4 linked regions of the Caenorhabditis elegans genome follow. The protein of the gene in region 4 purifies or fractionates together with the protein of the main gene of each other region. This does not show direct contact. Each region holds a gene or a part of one and is shown on either strand. Other genes may lie near its edges.

Region 1 (4,627 bases), on a different chromosome or scaffold from region 4:
CCTGTAAATATATATTACTGGAACAAAATACTATGAGAATGCGTATTGCACAACATATTTGACGCGTAAAATATCTCGTAGCGAAAACTACTGTAACTCTTTAAATGACTACTGTAACGCTGGTGTCGATTTACGGGCTCGATTTTTTGAAATAAATAGAATATTAAAACTAAGCATCCATTTTGAAAATCGAGCCCCGTAAATCGGCATAAGCACTACAGTAGTCATTTTAAGAATTACTGTAGTTTTCGCTACAAGATATTTTGCGCGTCAAATATGTTGTGCAGTACGTATTCTCTGAATTTTGTGCTCCCGTAATAACCCTTCCCAATCGAATCTATCCACAAACACTCTTCTGCCATTCACACACACACACTACTCAGAACATTACAAAATACGTGCAAACTCGGACTGCGCCTTCTCTCTCCGTCTCTTCATTGTCTACACTGTATCGTCTCGTTTCTCTCGACTGCTGCTGCTGGCCAGCCAAAAAAAAGAAAAATAAAATCGAAGAAACCCCGCTATCTCACTTGTTGTGTAGTCTTGATTTCGATTGAAATTTGTTTCGAAAAAACAATGTCGAATTCGATTTTCCATTGTTATCTCTCGTCCTTATCAAACGTTGGCTATTGATCACGATTTTCGAAAGTCATTTGCGTCATTTTTAATTTTTGCCTAGACTCTAGAGTATCGACTTTTCACGATTTTCTTGTCAGTATTCTTGTCGAAAAGTGACTCGAATTTAATGAAAATTTGTCGTGTCGAGACCGGGTGTGTCTCAAAAATCGTAAAATTTCGCCTCTGGCTAATTTAGTATTCATTGGCAAATGTAAGAAAGGTATATAGTTCAGCAAAAATTCCTTTTGTGTTCGACTCGAAATTATCTGAAATTACCGAATTTCATAATGAAAATTCTTGAAAACTTCTCAAAAAAAGTTATGGCGGTACAAAAAATGACCTGAAATTAGTTAAAATTTGAAATTTGACCGTCTTGTCAAGCGGCTGGATGCTAACTTTTTGAAATCATCGTCTAATTATGGGTATATAAGTTAATTATCTTGCGTTTTCAACTCGATTTAGGTATATTTGAGGTCGATTTGTCACCAGATTTGGTTAAATTTGGTAACATCTGGGGGATACATCGAGCTTAAATGTACCAAAATCGAGTTGAAACTGCAACAAGAAATTAACTTGTATACCCAAAATTAGACGGTTATTTCAAAAAAGTTAGCCGCTTGAAAAGTCGGTTAAATTTCAAATTTTAACTAATTTCAGGTAATTTTTTGAGCCGCCATAACTTTTTGGAGGAGTTTTCAAGAAGTTTCATTATGAAATTCGGTGTTTTTAGACTATTTCGAGACTACTTAAACAATAAAAAACGTTCGACTAGACCATCTTTAGATAGTTAAGTTTTTGCTGAACTATATACTTTTCTTACATTTGCCAATCAATACTAAATTAGCTAGAGGCGAAATATTACGATTTTTGAGCCATACCAGGTCTCGAGACGACATTTTTAAAAATTAAATTTGAGCCACTTTTTGAAAAGAATACAGGGCAAGAAAATCGGGAAAATCGATACTCTCGGTTTCACAAAGAATAGCAATTCTTCTATCGTTTTCTCCTCCTTATTCTGAATTTCTATCCAAATTTCCCTCCAACAAAAAAATTCCATAATTCTTGTAGAATCAAGATGACTCGCAAGTTCTTCGTCGGAGGAAACTGGAAGATGAACGGAGACTATGCCTCCGTCGATGGTATCGTCACCTTCCTCAACGCCTCAGCCGACAATTCCTCCGTTGATGTCGTCGTTGCTCCACCAGCTCCATATCTGGCCTACGCTAAATCCAAGCTTAAAGCCGGTGTGCTTGTCGCCGCACAAAACTGCTACAAAGTGCCAAAGGGAGCATTCACCGGGGAAATTTCGCCGGCAATGATCAAGGATCTTGGATTGGAATGGGTGATCCTCGGACACTCGGAACGTCGTCATGTCTTTGGAGAAAGCGATGCTGTTAGTTTAATACATTTTGATTTGATCTTCGAAAAATTCGGGAAAAGATCTTCTCGAGACGCAGACTTTTCCACTGATTTCGCAAGAGTGTGCTGACGTCACATTTTTCTGGCAGAAAAATTCCCGCATTTTTTGTAGATCAAACCGCAATGAGACAGCCTGACACCAAGTGTCAATAAAAAATTCGAGTTTCAGGGAAATTAATCTGAAATTTCTTTTTCAGCTGATCGCTGAGAAGACCGTGCATGCTCTCGAGGCTGGAATTAAGGTCGTTTTCTGCATTGGGGAGAAGCTCGAGGAGCGTGAAGCCGGACACACCAAGGATGTAAGGGAGCAAAATACTGGAAATTATCGATTTTTCGCAAGAAAATTTGAAAATTCAACATTTTCAAACTTTCAGATTTTTTTTCTTAATTTTTTCGGGTAGAAAATCGATTTCTTCTAATATTTCAGTAGAAAAATCAAGTTTTTGAGATTTTTTGAAAATTCCAAAATGGTTTTGTTTCGAATTTGCACGTTTTTCGGGAATTTTTCAAAGTTTCTTCTTAAAAAATCCCTGAATTTTATAGTTTTGAGCTCAATTTTTCCTCAAAAAAAACGCAATATTTCTCTTTCTGCAACGAATATTAGAAATAATCGCTTCGAGACCCGATTTTTATGAATTTTCGTGAATTTTGAACAGAAAACATTTAATTTTATCATTTTCCAAAAAAGCGGAAAATTCCAACAAAAAATGGTCGCCAAAAATAATTCTTTTTTTTTTTGCCAAATTTTCAACAAAAAAATTGGTTCCGGCAATAAAAAAGAAAAAACTCCTGAAATAGTCGTTTCGAGACCCGATTTCTTATGAATTTTCTTGAATTTTGCAGAAAAGTTCAAAAAAAAATCTCCGAAGAAACATTTTTATTTAAAAATCTTCGAAAAATCGATTAAATTCCCTATTCCACGTGGTAAAACAAAAAAAGTTCAAAAATAATCGCTTCGAGACCCGATTTTTTAATGAATTTTCGTGAAATTTATATAAAAATACAAATTTAAATTCCCAAAAACGCGAAAAATTCAAAAAAAAAAAAGAATCCCGAAGAATATAAAATTTTCGAAAAATCGATAAAATTTGAAACAAAAAATTCCTGAAAAATAATACCCAATTCCTTATAAATAAAGATTTTTTTTAATGTTGTAGAAAAATAAATTTCAAAAATCGATCGCTTCGAGACCCAAATTTTCCAATTTCCAGGTAAACTTCCGTCAACTTCAAGCCATCGTCGACAAGGGTGTCAGCTGGGAGAACATTGTGATCGCCTACGAACCAGTTTGGGCCATCGGAACCGGAAAGACTGCTTCTGGAGAACAAGCCCAGGAGGTTCATGAATGGATCCGTGCATTCCTCAAAGAGAAGGTCTCACCAGCTGTCGCCGATGCCACGAGAATCATTTATGGAGGATCTGTGACTGCTGACAATGCGGCTGAGCTTGGAAAGAAGCCGGATATCGATGGATTCTTGGTCGGTGGAGCATCGTTGAAACCCGATTTTGTCAAGATTATCAACGCCAGATCTTAAATTATTATTTATTTCCCCCTATTTCACAGATTTTTCCGGATTTCCACTGATTTTTCACCGATTCCCCTAAATTTTGGTCGTAAAATTGGTTGATTTTCATTGATTCCCCTAATTTTTAGCCGTAAAATTAGCTGATTTTTCCCGGAATTTCAGCTTCAAAATTGTAGAATTTCCCTTAGTTTTCCCCAATTTTCCCCCAGATTTCCTCTAAATTATATTGTAAAATTAGCTGATTTTCATCAATTTTCCCGGAATTTTGACCGAAAAAAATCCAAAATTTGGGTGAATTCGTGAATTTTTTGGCTTGAAATTTGGCTTTTTCCTCTCTACAGTGTAGATATTAGTAGCAGCTTTTTTTTCCAGTATTTTTGATATTCAAAACCTATATATATTTATATAAATAAATTTCTTGCCGACAAATAACAAAAAATCGATATTTTCAAACAATAGTTACTTGTTCTGTGTGAATATTTCAGCCGGCGATTTTCAGATTTTTGCGGAAAATTTTCAGTTTTCAGATGAGTAATCAATATATCAACGAGCCGATTACGACGGGAAAGGTAAAATTATTGATTTTTATCGATTTTTGGTGGAAAAAATTGAATTTTCCAGAAAAAATGACCGAAAATTTCAATTTTTATCGATTTTTGAATAAAAATCGAAAATCCAGTGAAATTTTCGATTTTTCCGATGAAAAATTCGCGTATTTTTGCAATTTTTAAGCTGTAAAACGAAAATTTTGAGTTTTTTTTATCTAAAAATTGGCTAATTTCGAAAAATTTTGGATAATTTATTGAAAAATACGACCAATTTTGCACTTTTTGCGCCAAAACTACGTTTCCTGGTCTCGACACGACAATTTTTGTTTATTGCAAAGAGGTGTGCGCCTTTAAAGAGTACTGTAGTCTTGAACATTTTTTTAATCAAAAAATCTATAAAAATTCGAGACTACAGTAATCTTTAAAGGCGCACATCTTTTTAACAAAAATGTGTCGCTTCGAGACCCTAGGTACCGTAGTTTTGGCGCGAAAATCGCAGAATTCGTCATATTTTTC
Region 2 (4,363 bases), on a different chromosome or scaffold from region 4:
AGGCTTGCCCATTTTCTCAGCTTATCCCACTTATCGTCTTGAAATCTACTGGAACCAATTTCGTATATATTATTTGAGCAGTTGACTGGAAGTAAGTTGTTGATTTGCGACGAGCTAAATACCATCTGAAAATTCACGGCTAGTTTGAGTTCTGTCCAGGTATGATTTTGTAATCTTTGGTTTCAGTTTTTATAAGGCATTTTGAAAACAAGCTGAAATAATTTTTGAAAAAAAAATAGATTTTCTAACCAATTTATTTTGACCCATGACCGTGACTTGAATTTGCAGAATTAAATACCAGAACTCTACGCCCATGTTTCAGAAAACCACACCGATGCGTTTATCTGAAGTCGAAAAGTTTCTGAAAATTTTGTTAAATAATTATGTATTTAACTCTCTAATGTATTTAACATAATTTGATTTTATAAAAATACTTTGTCTTTTTCCTCGAAAATCTTATGGTTTCAGAGAACTCAAAATATGTGCGTGTTATACCATTCATTGTAAGCACACTTCCAACTAAATAAATTTAAATTTGAAAGTGATATTAATTTTTTTTAATTTTTCGTTTTCAGAAAACTGACAATTATATTTCTTTCAAAACAGTTAGAAACACAACGTTTCAGAATCGAATAATTGAATTAACGTAATTGCTAAACAAATATCGTGCATATCATTTTTCAATAACCAACTCCAGTAAAGATTAAGGTCGAAACCCAATTTATTAAAAGTTCCCATTCTCAGAAAAAAAACAGGCTACAAATAAAAATGAGATAAAGCATACTGCCATTCTACAACCGGAGAATAAGAAAACCGAAAACGAGAAAATTATTCTATTATGACAGATAGAATAAGTTAAAATGGGAAGAGTGCATTTGTCACTGATTTACTTGGTGACTTGGTGGAGAGCGTGGGCAAGGTAAGCGACATTGTTCGATGAAATTCCCGCCACCGAGATACGTCCGTCCTTGGTGAGGTAGACAGAGTGTTCCTTGATAAGCTTCTCAACTTGTTGTGGGTTGATTCCAGTAAAGCAGAACATTCCAATTTGGTTGGTAATGTGCTCCCAATTACGAGTAGATCCCTCCTTGGCGAGCAAATCCTTGAGCGTAGTTCTCATGGTGATGATACGATCAGCCATGAGCTTGACATCTCCGAGCCATTGCTTGTTGAGAGCTGGATCCGCGAGGATGCGGGAAGCAATGCGAGCTCCATGGACTGGTGGGTTGGAGTAGAGTGGGCGAATAAGGATCTTGACTTGAGAAGCAACACGAGCAGCCTCATCAGCGTCCGAGGTAACAACGGAGAAAGCACCGACTCGTTCACCTTAAACAGAATAAATTATAAAAATTATGCAGTATTCAGGGTTAGGGCTACAAAAGGGTAGAAAAGATAGGATAATGCGACACCAGTGATATCCGCGTTATCATGGCCTAACTTCCAACACCAAGAAGAAACTGCGCTCTATTGCACAAAAACAATACATTTCGTATTGAACTCCAGCTTGTAAAATTCAAATTTAACAAATTAGTATGTAAACTCACCATAAAGTCCCATGTTCTTGGCAAAGGATTGAGAGAGAACAATGTTGTGTCCTTGCTCGACAAAGTAACGAACAGCGAACGCGTCATTGTCAACATCTCCGGAAGCGAAACCTTGGTAAGCCATATCGAAGAAGACAAACAAGTTGCGTTTCTTCACAATGTCGGAGATCTTCTTCCACTGGTCACGGGATGGATCAACTCCAGTTGGGTTGTGAGCACAAGCGTGAAGCAAGATTGTGGATCCTTCCGGGATTTGAGCAATGTCAGCGAGTGCTCCAGTTTCATCAAAACCACAGGTGGACTTGTCATAATAGCGGTATTGCTTGACATCGACTCCGGCAAATTTGAAGATTGGAACATGGTTTCCCCAAGTTGGTGTTGGCTGGTAGATAACCTTGGTCTTGGCGTACTTAGAAAGGAACTCAGATCCGATTCTAAGGGCTCCAGTTCCAGAAATGCTCTGAGTGGTGAAGATTCTCTTGTTCTTGATCACATCAGAGTTCTCTCCAAGAGCGAGTTGAGCAGAGAGCTTGGTGAACTCGGGAAGTCCTGCAAACAAATAAAGAGTTCAAATGGATCAATAAGTTTATAACACTCACCAACAATTCCGGCGTACTCCTTATCAAGATTGGCAGCGATCACTTGACGTTCAGCTTCCTTGACCGATGGGAGAACAAATGGCTTTCCTTGATCGTCACGGTAAGCTCCGACTCCAAGGTTGATCTTCTTTGGGTTTGAATCGGCTTTGAAGGCCTCGGTGACTCCAAGAATCGCATCTGGTGGTCCCATCTCAACATGCGACCACCACGACTTTCCTCGCACGGCGGTAGAGAAAAGCTTCTTGGAAACGCTCATTGTTGATTGGAGAAAGATTACCTGAATATTCAATATTAATGTTTCGAGTGGGAACTTAAAAGACGTTTTGAAAGTAGGCGTGGAAATCACGTTCCGATTAGAATGAAGCAACGAAACATTGATAGCAGGGAAGACTAGAGTACGTACAACGCATGATTCCTTATCCGAAGAAACAAAAATAAAATAAAACGTGGGTATCATTATCTTTACCAGGACAATTATTTGAGTGTTCAATGGTGTTTGAATGGGCTGATTGGACACTTTTTTTAAATTCAAAAAAGATACCCTAGGACACTCCATTCAGGGTACTAACCACATTTCTAGCCTTTAGCAACGGCGTGGCATCAAACTAGGCTAAAATTGTAGTTAAACTTATTGACTCTATCAAAAACAACTGATGTGAAACAACAAAATGGACCGACTGCACCGCCTATGAAAGAATGGACGCGTCTGCTCATCTTATCCCAGTCCACGAACTGGCAAGGAAGACGACAAGTGAGAAGAACTGGAGAAACTAGGTTAGAGAGTACGGAGATTCGAGAGAGTGTAGGGTGGCAGAGGAAAACTCGGGCGGCCGCGGCAACGTGAGAAACATGCGGTTCGACGATTCAGTCGTTTTTGTGTAACTCGGCGCTCGAGAACTGGTAAACAGTAAGTAAACTGCGTTCGAAAAAAAATATAAGAAAATCGCCGTACTTCGGTCGTGAAATTATTTGTTTAAATAATATAATTTTTTAAACTTTTCTATTAGCAGCACCGTGTTCGCAAAAAAAAATCTCAAAGAATTTTTGATGAACGGAAAAAAAGCGACTAATGACTGTAAAAAGGCAAGGAAAAACTGAGGCCAACAAGATAAATGAAAAAAAATTTGGTTGTTGTTGTGGTTCGTCACTCTCAAAGGTTCGATATTGTCCGCGCGCGGCCGGAGAACACAGGTTGGTAGGTCAAAAGTGCTGGTGGCACACGGATATTGGAAGTCTTAAAATTCAAGATGGTGTCTTACTTCAAAAATTGAATTTGGGATAGCAAAAAAAAATAAATTTAAAGTACAGAAAAAATATAAAACATAGAAAAAAGTTAATGAAAAATGGTTTTTATATTAACGTTTGGACGTTTGGAAAACCGCTCAAAATTGTGTGAAGAATTTCGGATATATTCTGGAAAGGAATCCACCAAAGTGTTGGAGTTTTTTCCCGTCATTTTCAAAGATTAGGACAATTTTTGAGTTTTTTTTTCGATTGTTCCAAATAAAAGGAAAATGATTTTCAGATAAAGCAACCAGTTTTCTATAATCTTTAACTAAGGTATAATTTTTATTTTTTGTTGAATTGCTTGTCGGAAATTATAGCGCATCCACGGTCGATAAAATAAAATGTAAATTGTAAGATGGTTTAAAAAATTTTTCTAACATCTGGAAACAAAAACGTTTACAACTGAACTGCCTGTGAGTATAGTGTTATCATTTTGGATTACCTCTTGTGAGCAAACTTCAATACATTCAATTCTGATAAACAAAACCTAGCACACGTCACACTAACCTGTAGTGTTCAGATAGAGTTTTTTGAAAATTACTTTTAGATTGTCGCCCGAATTTTGTGTAATTCACTTTGTGTTACAAATTTACAAATTGTTCAACATTTGTGTGACTTTCACGTGGACATCCGTAAACATTTTGAGTCCTTTGTTTCTCTCAATTTTTCTCTCGATTTGAGTGCAAAATGATTTTTGCGATAAATATGAAAGAAACTCCAAATTTTGCCTAGCCTAGAGAAAAGGATCTATTGTCTCCGGGAGGTTTCGTATCGCGGAATCGAGACCGGCCTAGAACAGGATCTGTTGTCGGGAAGAGATGAGATTTCTAGGACACGATATGAACGATGTCAAGGCTAAAAAGGTTGCCTTTCTCGAGAAGAACCGTTCATTCTTGCCTGACTCGCATTGAATAATGTCGCATCCTACTCCAG
Region 3 (5,072 bases), on a different chromosome or scaffold from region 4:
CCTTCGTGGCAAGACCCTTCCAAACCAAATCATGCGCCTTTAAGTGTGCGTTTCAGAAAAAAGAATTATAATAACTGTTTTGAAAAAATACCAGAAAGTTAAAACTGCAAATCTTTTCAGGGAGCTCAAAGCCTGTTCAATCCAGAAACTGCTGCAGACTTCTTCTTCAACAAAGATGGTTCCAAGAAAATCAACCGGATACCCATTTTCTACTGTGAATACAGTCAAAAACGTGGACCAACCATGGCGAACAACCTTCGGGAAGTGGACAGAAAACTGAATTCAAATATCTATCCGAGATGTGATTATGAGGAGATTTATTTGTTGGAAGGAGGTTATAAAAACTTTTACGCTTTCACGCGGGGATTAGAGAAGGAACAAAGAGTACAACTCTGTGAGCCAGATAATTATGTAATCATGTTTGATGATCGTTATAAGGCTGAGCTTCGGAAGCACCAGTTCCATAAGAAGAATGTTTCGAAGCCAATGAAGAAATGGAGTTCAACAACATCTGTGATATCTATTCTAACAACTTCTGGAACTCGTATTTCGACACTTCGTCAGACATGTGATCCCATCCATGAGCACGATGCGCATTAAGAATATGTAGTTCCCGGTATCTTTTAAAAAGGATAATCAAATATTTTGTACTATTTATTATGTTTAATTATAATTACTAGTATCCAGGATAATAGGATGTAAATTAACTTTGATAAATAAACTGAATGATTTGTCAATAAACTTTTTGAATTATCCACAGCATCCCTGAGTTCTTGGGTCTTGTCCAGATCGTTTTGTAATGTGAAGCTTCACGAACTCTTCAGAAGAACATGGATGAATGGCAATTGTGTTTTGAAGATCAGACATTGAAATTCCAACACGGAATGCTACTGCGTAGCCTGAAATAATTTAGTGCAATCGGTTAGCTTTTAAAGTTTTCGTATCTTGATCGATTATCGAGGTTGTTAGTATTACCTACCCGCAGAATATTGTGAGTTGATTGCCAAAAGTACGGTACCTGAACTTGACACGATAAAATTTTTTCGCGCCTGTAAAGAATACTGTAGTTTCAGACTCTCGATTCTGCAGAAATTTTGTAGATTTTTAAAGCTTTTTGATAAAAATTTATTAATTGTCTCAAGTTGTGATTAAATCTTTAAAAAATCGATAAAAATTCTACAGCAGCGAAAGTTTAAATTTTCAGTATTATTTAAAGGTGCACACTTTCTTTGCATTAAAAATTGTCGTATCAAGCCGTATTTTTGGCGCAAAAATAGCAGAATTTTGCGTATGTGTAATATTATTCATTCAATAAAGAAAAAGATAAAAAATTCAAAATAACAGATTTAGCACGTAAGTTTTTGCGAACAGATTATGGTTTTTCGAACATTGTTCCAAAATTGAAGGTGTTCAGAAAACATTTTCGTGACGGGCGGGGCGGACTATTTCTCTTTTTGAATCAATTACCTTGAATTACTTCTGCGGCATTTGGTCCAACAAAATGAAGACCAAGAATTTTCTGCGATTCATCTCTTGTACACACGGCTTTCACATAACAAAAACCGCTATCCTTATTCTGTGGCACAACATACTCAAACGGAGTAAAATGAGAATGAAACACTTCGATCGAATCTTCTCCATGTTTCTGAATGGCTTCTTCCTCAGTTAACCCGACGGTTGAGAGTTCAAGAGGCGTGAATACTGTAGTGGCAACTCCATCGAATCGAACTATTTGTTTGGAATTTGAAAAAAGACGATCAGCTAGAAGTTTTCCGGATTGAATAGCAAGTGGCGTGAGCTCTTGGCGATCCTGAATACTATCATTTTTATTTTAAAAAAATGTTACTTTTTTTATCGTACCTGAACAATATCTCCAACGGCATATACACCATTACAGGAAGCTCTATCAAATTCATCTGCTAGAATCTTCCCAGATCTCTTATCAGTCCTCACTCCAGCATTATCCAAATTCAAACTTTTCAAATTTGGAACTCTACCAGCCGCCCAAATAACTGTATCATATTCTTCAACACCACCATTTCCAGTGAATGTAACCTTCTTCTTACTGCCAACTGCTTCTACACGTTCTACTTCCACGTGTTCCTTAACTTTCACTCCAGTTGTTTTCAGATGCTCCATGACAAAATGCACACAATCTCTATCAAAACCCTTCAAAGGAATTGATCTCACAAGAACTTCAACATTTTGATTGAATGCAGAAAGAAATCCAGCACATTCCAATGCAACATATCCTCCACCAACAATCAAAGTTTTTCCGGGAACTGATGCCAGTGTAAAAAGATCGTCTGAAGTGATTCCAAGTTCAGCACCAGGAATATTTGGATATTTGGGACGGAGTCCTGTTGAGATGACTACATTCGGTGCGGAAAGAAAATTCTGAAAATCTAGGATGAAATTTTTTAATTTTCCGTTTCCTAGCAATATTATTATTACCTAAAGTTTGCGCCAAAAATGCGGTACCAGGTCTCGACGCGACAAATTTTTGTCAAATGCGAAAAGTTGTGCCTTTAACGAGTACTGTCATCTCAAACATTTGTTGCTACGGAATTTTTATAGATTATTTTTATAGATTTTATCACAACTTGTTAGAATAAATTATGTTTTTTCGGAAAACTATATTGTCGTGTCGAGACCTGATACCGTATTCTCCTCCGAAAAGCCGCAAAACTTTTGGGTATACGGAACAAATTTTTTAAAACTTCTTTTTTCATTTTTCCAAACGTACCTTGGTTTTATTTTTGTCTGTACCAGTTATCACAATCTTGTCTTTATCCACAAACTCGGCATAGGCATTGAAGTAATTGATTTTTCTAAATTTCATAAAAATAAAAATTTCCACAAAATTAAAAAAAATACTTCTGATTTAATTGAACTCTATAAATCCAATTGTTTGCTTTTACTCGATCATTCACATTCTTTGACAACACATTCCAATCATGTTTGATTTTCTCTTGATCTATGCCATTCCAGCCATATTTGTCTGCGTGTTTTAGCTGGAATTTTGAATTTAGTGCTCTAAATATTTATAATATTATTCCTGCCTCTTTCCCGACGATTGCTGCTTGGTGCATTAACTTTTTAGGAATGCATCCGACATTTGCACAAGTTCCTCCGATTCCCCATGAATGTCCATGTGGAGTTGGCTCAACTGCATCAATTAATGCCACGTTTGCTCCAAGATCAGCTGCTCTTTTAGAACAAGAAAGTCCTCCAGATCCTGCTCCAATTACAATCAGATCAAATTTATTTGATGAGAAGAGACGCCTGATTGGTAGATGTCGTTTGAAAGTGGATAGAAGCATCAGAAAATTGATCTACAAATGATTTAAAGTTGAATTTCAATTTTCATTAGATTTTTGAAATCGCTATCGGATATTCGCAGATAATTCATTAGAATTGGATATTTTTTAAACAAATAACATTGCTTTTAAAATGAAAATTTTAATCTCATACTATTAATTCGTTTTTATTTTTATTAATTCGTTTTCAACACAAAATGGTACAGGGAATAAAGTGTATTATAATATTGTAGATAATTATATAGTACCGGTGAAAACTAGGAAAAATGGAATAAAAAGAAAATAGAACAGTTGAATAGCAAAGGAATGAAAAGTTGTGAATTAAGAGGGACCATAAAATGTGATACTATAGAGAATCAAGTTTGTAGACCCAATTTTCAAGTTCAATTGAAAAAATCAGAGACGACGAAGATTTCAAAAATACTTGGCTCGTGGTAACTTCATTCGACGTGCTGATAAGTTTTCCAAATTCAAGAGCAAGGTTTTCTGAAATGGAAACGTTTAATAGAAATGATGTTGAAACATTGGATTATACCCATTTCATATTTTAGTCCAATTGAACTGACGATTGTCTCCTTTTGAACAATTGGAATGATTCCACACATTTTTGTTGTCATTTCAAGATTGACATCAAGATTTGAATCCCCCTGAATTTAACTCTTAATGTTCACATAGGCCTGCCAAGGATTACTGTAGGAACAGCGAGAACCAAATTTCTAGAATCCAAAACGATCACAGGAGTTTGAGAATCAACGAATCTTATTAAAGATGATAACGTTGACATGGTGTGATCAAATCGTCCATTGAGACCTCCTAGAACAACGATATTCTCGAATTCCCAGCTTGTTAGTGTTTTCTGCTCTAAGCACCACTGAACGCTCTTCGAGAGATCTGTGTAGTCTTGATCAGGCAGATGGACGACTCTAAAACAACATTAAGAACAATTTTCGACAAAATATTTTTATTTTTTTAGTCCTGAACACAGAATGAATAACATTTAGTTGGCAAGCCAGAAATACCAAAAAAAGTGCAAAATCATTATTATGACCTGGTCAATACACTCTTCTCAACGAATTGTAGCTTTCAGTCTTCCAGTATTAAAAACACAACTCAATAATATTTTAATTTTATTTTCAACGTTCACGCCTATATATTCTTTTAGCTAATATTCAACAGCCGCTACAGTAATAATTCTTTGTGATCACTACAGTAACCCTACAGTAATTCTATCATTGCTCATTAATAGAAGATGTTATCAAACATGAAACACGATTACAATGAAGTTGAGTAATGCCTATATTAATTTTTAATTTCAGTAGAATTTAAACTAACTTTGCATTTTTTGTATCAATCTGTTTATTTATTGAATCGAAATCTCCGCAGATAATATGAGGCCATTCGACGAAACTCTTTCTGAAATCCAAAACTCGGTTTACGATAATTTTCAATTTCTGGATCCTAGATCACCTTTTAAGAATCTCATTAACAGCTCCATCAGTTGCAACTCGATATTTGGCCTTATTCCATAAATTTTCAGCGCGATTGCTGATTGCCGTAGGTTCACCGTTAAGCCAAATACATACTGATGCACACGAATCCTCTAAAATTTCGAATGGCTTCAATTTCTTTGACATTTCTCTGCAAAATTTTTATTTTTTGTAAGCTTCCACTTGTGATGAGGGGTTAAAATGTTTAGCTTATTATTACTCTGAGGCAAAAACTTGCGATTTTTGACGCAAGAATCTTTCGTTA
Region 4 (3,750 bases):
AGGACTTTCCAATAACTGATTATTCCCAAGACAAAAATACTTTTTATCTTCATATTATTCAGTTTTTCAAACATATCAAGTAAAATGTGAGCCATCATTTCATAATTGAAATTTATTCCAGAGCATCATTCCATATGATGAGCAACTTACAACTTCGATACTCAATGGATCCGTGGCAAGTTCTTACACCTGAACAAAATTTCACTTTCTTTGTACCAACTAATGAAGCGTGGCATAAAGTGAGTTGGGAAAATTCTAAATGCAGTTTCACCTATATTATTACAGCAATCAACTTCACTTGTTGCTCGAATGAATGATGGAAATCATTGGCAAGCACTGCAGTATGTTTACAAACGGCATATTGTGCAGGGACAGGTAGATTTAAATCTTTGAGTCTAAAAAAAACAAGTTTCAGGCATTAATGTACACAGATCTTCGTGAACGAACCTATGTAATGATGAATGATGAAAAAGTTGTGATTAGGAGAAGAGGGAGATGTGAGTTTCTTTTTGATTTTTAAATCTAATTTTTAACACTTTGCGTTCAAAAGATCAGCAGCTTCATTTAAATATTCAAATCCTCTGTGCAAACAGTAAGTGGACAAGTTTTTCCGCTCAATTCACACATTGTGTTATTGGCAAGGATAACACAAATGACAAAGAATGAGAAACATCTTTAGAACTCTATCATGGGGCTATGATTCTCGTTTGAGCTCTGGGAAATCATTTTTGGCAGTATGACGTCTCGTATAATTTTCCATACATTTGGTGAAAAGTTTTGCAAGATTTGACAGCAATAGAAATAGTACATGTTAGGAAATTTAGACAGATTTTAGGCGCAAATAATTTACGAATTCCATACAATTTCAATAATAAATTTCAGTCTTCGAGTTGTATTGGCCACGTGGAGATCGTCGAGCACAAGTACTAGAAGGTGGTGAAATAGCAGGAATCAATGGATATATGCATATGATTGATAGTGTTTTAATATATGAACCGGATCTTCGAGCTCATGCGTGTACAACTGAGCCAGTGTTCCTCCAATTTCTTGTAGTTTGTCTGGTTATGGTATGGCGACCCGGATGGTTTACTCCGTTTTACACTGTATTCTTCTACAGATAATTCATTTTATTTCTGTGTTTAATTTTTCAATTTAACGTGCCATCTGACATTTAAATATTTGAAACGGGTAGATATATTGAACCGCATTTTAGATATCATATTTCAGTCATTTTATCCATTTCTTTCTATCTATCAAATTTCTTTTGTTTTTTGAAAACATTCTATCTCGGTTATTTTAATGATCTGCATTGGTTTTTTGATAAAGCTGTCAGGGATATTTTTCTTAATATTAGGTAAACCATATTCTGATTGGAACACCGTTGACCGAGGTTATAAATGTCTTTGATTTACAAGTAGACTAGGCCACCAAATTTTTTTTGCAGCCACGTTGGAAATCTTGTGAAGTATTCAATTTTCAAAATAATCAAAATGAAGAACTACTAATTGTAATTTTAAAACAAGTTAGAACAACTTATTTTCTGACAAAAGAACTAAACTTTGAAAAATTAGTTCTATTGTATTTTCACAACTTTCTAAGCCGCGTAATAAAAGCGCATGGGTTTTTCGGCTAGGTGACACGAAAAAAAGTTTGTGGTAGCGAATTTTGTGGTAGTAGAATTTTCACTAATCTTTGAAAAACCAAATAAAACACGTTAAATCTAGATCAAGAACAAGAACAACAACTCCCAAAAAAGTTAAATAAATAAATCATATCAGAAATGCAACAGTAACATTTCTTTACCATCAACTTTCTATCGCGACAAGACCCATCCGAATAAATACGTGTACAATTAAGTACGCATTACAGAAATTTTCTGAGTACTGAAAAACTAAATAACCATGAAACTATTCGAACCCGAGTCTATTCTTTGTCCAGTCACAAAACACTACAACGTAGCCTATTCGTAGCTAGAGAGACGGAGACTTGTCATCATATTCATGTGGTTTATGCCTACTCGCGTATTTTCTTGCTCCAAATAAATTGTCATCATTTGATTTGTGTTCTATTACTTTTTCGTTTCATTTATAAACCATTTTCCTAAATAATTTCGCAAAAAAAAAATCATTTCCAATTATTTTTAAGATGTCTTCGGTTTACGATTTCAACGTCAAAAATGCTAATGGTGATGACGTGTCACTTTCGGATTACAAGTGAGTTATAGAGAAAACAATGAAAATGGATATTCAAAATTGATTTTCTTTTTCAGAGGAAAAGTTCTCATTATCGTGAACGTCGCTTCACAGTGTGGACTTACCAACAAGAATTATACACAACTCAAAGAATTGCTCGATGTGTGAGTTTGAAATGAAAATATTGCCCAATCGCGAAATATTCCGATAAGCTCCAAAAAAGCGGTGTCCGGTCTCGAAAAGACAATTTCTTTGCTAAATGCAAACGTGCTTTTGAAAGGACTGTACATACTGTAATGTACTGTATTGAAAACTTTTGTTGCTATGGAATTTTTATCGATTTTTCATAGTTTTTCTCACGATTTGTTTGCAGTTATGTGTTTTTAATTATTATTAAGTTTTTTATTTTACTTTTTTATTGAATACATATTTGACGAAAAACTATAAAAAATCGATGAAAATTCTGCAACAACACAAGTTTTTAATTACAGTACTCTTAAACGCGCATATCCGTGTATTTTTGTTTTTAACAAAAATTGCCGTGTCGAAGCGCAAAATTTTGCGGCTAGATAAGATTTCCATTTCTTTAAGACGACAAAATATTCCAGGTACAAAAAGGATGGTCTCGAAGTTCTTGCCTTCCCTTGCAATCAATTTGCCGGTCAGGAACCATCGTGTGAAATCGATATTCAAGCATTTGTCGCTGACAAATTTAAATTCGAACCAACACTTTTCCAGAAGATTGATGTGAATGGAGATAAACAGTCACCACTTTTCAAATTTTTGAAAAATGAGAAAGGTGGATTCATGTTCGATGCAATTAAATGGAATTTCACAAAGTTCTTGGTTGGACGCGATGGGAAAATTATCAAGAGATTTGGACCAACGACTGATCCAAAGGACATGGAAAAAGATATCAAAGAAGCACTTGGAGAGAAATTGTAATTTATTGCAGCAATTCAAACTTTCAAATTCAATTCGAAACAAAAAAAAACATACTTAAAATAAAGATATGATATTCATAAATTGAACCGAATCACATTCAAACAGACATAGTATAATTATAACCCCGTAATTAGTCGCTGGTATCTTGTTCAAGACGACGGCGCATGTTCTGAAACCACTTGAAAAGGTGTAAGAAATATATTTTGCTAAAAATAAAACTAACACTATTATTTTTCGCTTTCATCTTCGAAAAGCTCATCGACTCTAGATTAGCCAAAGCCAGCTCAGCCACCCGTAATTCAGCTTTATGAACGTTCGACTCAGCAGCGGATGCCAAACGTTTACCCCTGAAATAAATTATTTATTGCTTGTTTAGTACTGCAAAAGCGTTTTTAACTTACTTATAATATACAGCAATTTTGAAAATTCGATTATTGGTTGGTCCTTCGATTCCAAGTACCCGATATTCTGGCATATCTGGTTCCGAACTACTTGGATCACGCATTGCAAGACACCATTGCTGGAGATGTGACTTAGCATCATTCCATTTCTCGCTTTCGATAAAGTGTTTCAGTCTTGGACAAAATACAATTCTGATGAAAGCACGACAATG

Evidence for each region.
Region 1: the proteins of gpx-1 (region 4) and tpi-1 fractionate together in Caenorhabditis elegans (co-fractionation; one large-scale study listed by BioGRID). This does not show direct contact.
Region 2: the proteins of gpx-1 (region 4) and got-2.2 fractionate together in Caenorhabditis elegans (co-fractionation; one large-scale study listed by BioGRID). This does not show direct contact.
Region 3: the proteins of gpx-1 (region 4) and trxr-2 fractionate together in Caenorhabditis elegans (co-fractionation; one large-scale study listed by BioGRID). This does not show direct contact.

The regions. Positions count from the first base shown.
Region 1 is NC_003280.10:12,036,199-12,040,825, reverse strand, and holds tpi-1 (Triosephosphate isomerase), read left to right. Parts: upstream 1-1,686; 5' UTR 1,687-1,693; coding exon 1,694-2,011; intron 2,012-2,234; coding exon 2,235-2,336; intron 2,337-3,248; coding exon 3,249-3,572; 3' UTR 3,573-3,991; downstream 3,992-4,627. Other genes in the region: cyn-16 (Spliceosome-associated protein CWC27 homolog), read left to right, coding at 4,091-4,132. UniProt on the Caenorhabditis elegans protein: Triosephosphate isomerase is an extremely efficient metabolic enzyme that catalyzes the interconversion between dihydroxyacetone phosphate (DHAP) and D-glyceraldehyde-3-phosphate (G3P) in glycolysis and gluconeogenesis.
Region 2 is NC_003284.9:6,239,040-6,243,402, reverse strand, and holds got-2.2 (Aspartate aminotransferase), read right to left. Parts: upstream 2,421-4,363; 5' UTR 2,400-2,420; coding exon 2,144-2,399; intron 2,094-2,143; coding exon 1,545-2,093; intron 1,327-1,544; coding exon 887-1,326; 3' UTR 694-886; downstream 1-693. Other genes in the region: rml-3 (dTDP-4-dehydrorhamnose 3,5-epimerase), read left to right, coding at 4,345-4,363.
Region 3 is NC_003281.10:8,912,032-8,917,103, reverse strand, and holds trxr-2 (putative glutathione reductase 2), read right to left. Parts: upstream 3,336-5,072; 5' UTR 3,324-3,335; coding exon 3,063-3,323; intron 3,015-3,062; coding exon 2,878-3,014; intron 2,832-2,877; coding exon 2,747-2,831; intron 2,398-2,746; coding exon 1,861-2,397; intron 1,811-1,860; coding exon 1,468-1,810; intron 900-1,467; coding exon 751-899; 3' UTR 645-750; downstream 1-644. Other genes in the region: M-phase inducer phosphatase cdc-25.3, read left to right, coding at 121-600; tpk-1 (thiamine pyrophosphokinase 1), read right to left, coding at 3,667-3,806, 3,856-3,967, 4,012-4,243, 4,653-4,733, 4,788-4,954.
Region 4 is NC_003279.8:9,778,204-9,781,953, forward strand, and holds gpx-1 (Glutathione peroxidase 1), read left to right. Parts: upstream 1-2,145; coding exon 2,146-2,213; intron 2,214-2,269; coding exon 2,270-2,356; intron 2,357-2,800; coding exon 2,801-3,137; 3' UTR 3,138-3,210; downstream 3,211-3,750. Other genes in the region: F26E4.7 (FAS1 domain-containing protein), read left to right, coding at 122-239, 286-375, 416-497, 883-1,121; drsh-1 (Ribonuclease 3), read right to left, coding at 3,268-3,315, 3,361-3,484, 3,539-3,750. UniProt on the Caenorhabditis elegans protein: May constitute a glutathione peroxidase-like protective system against oxidative stresses.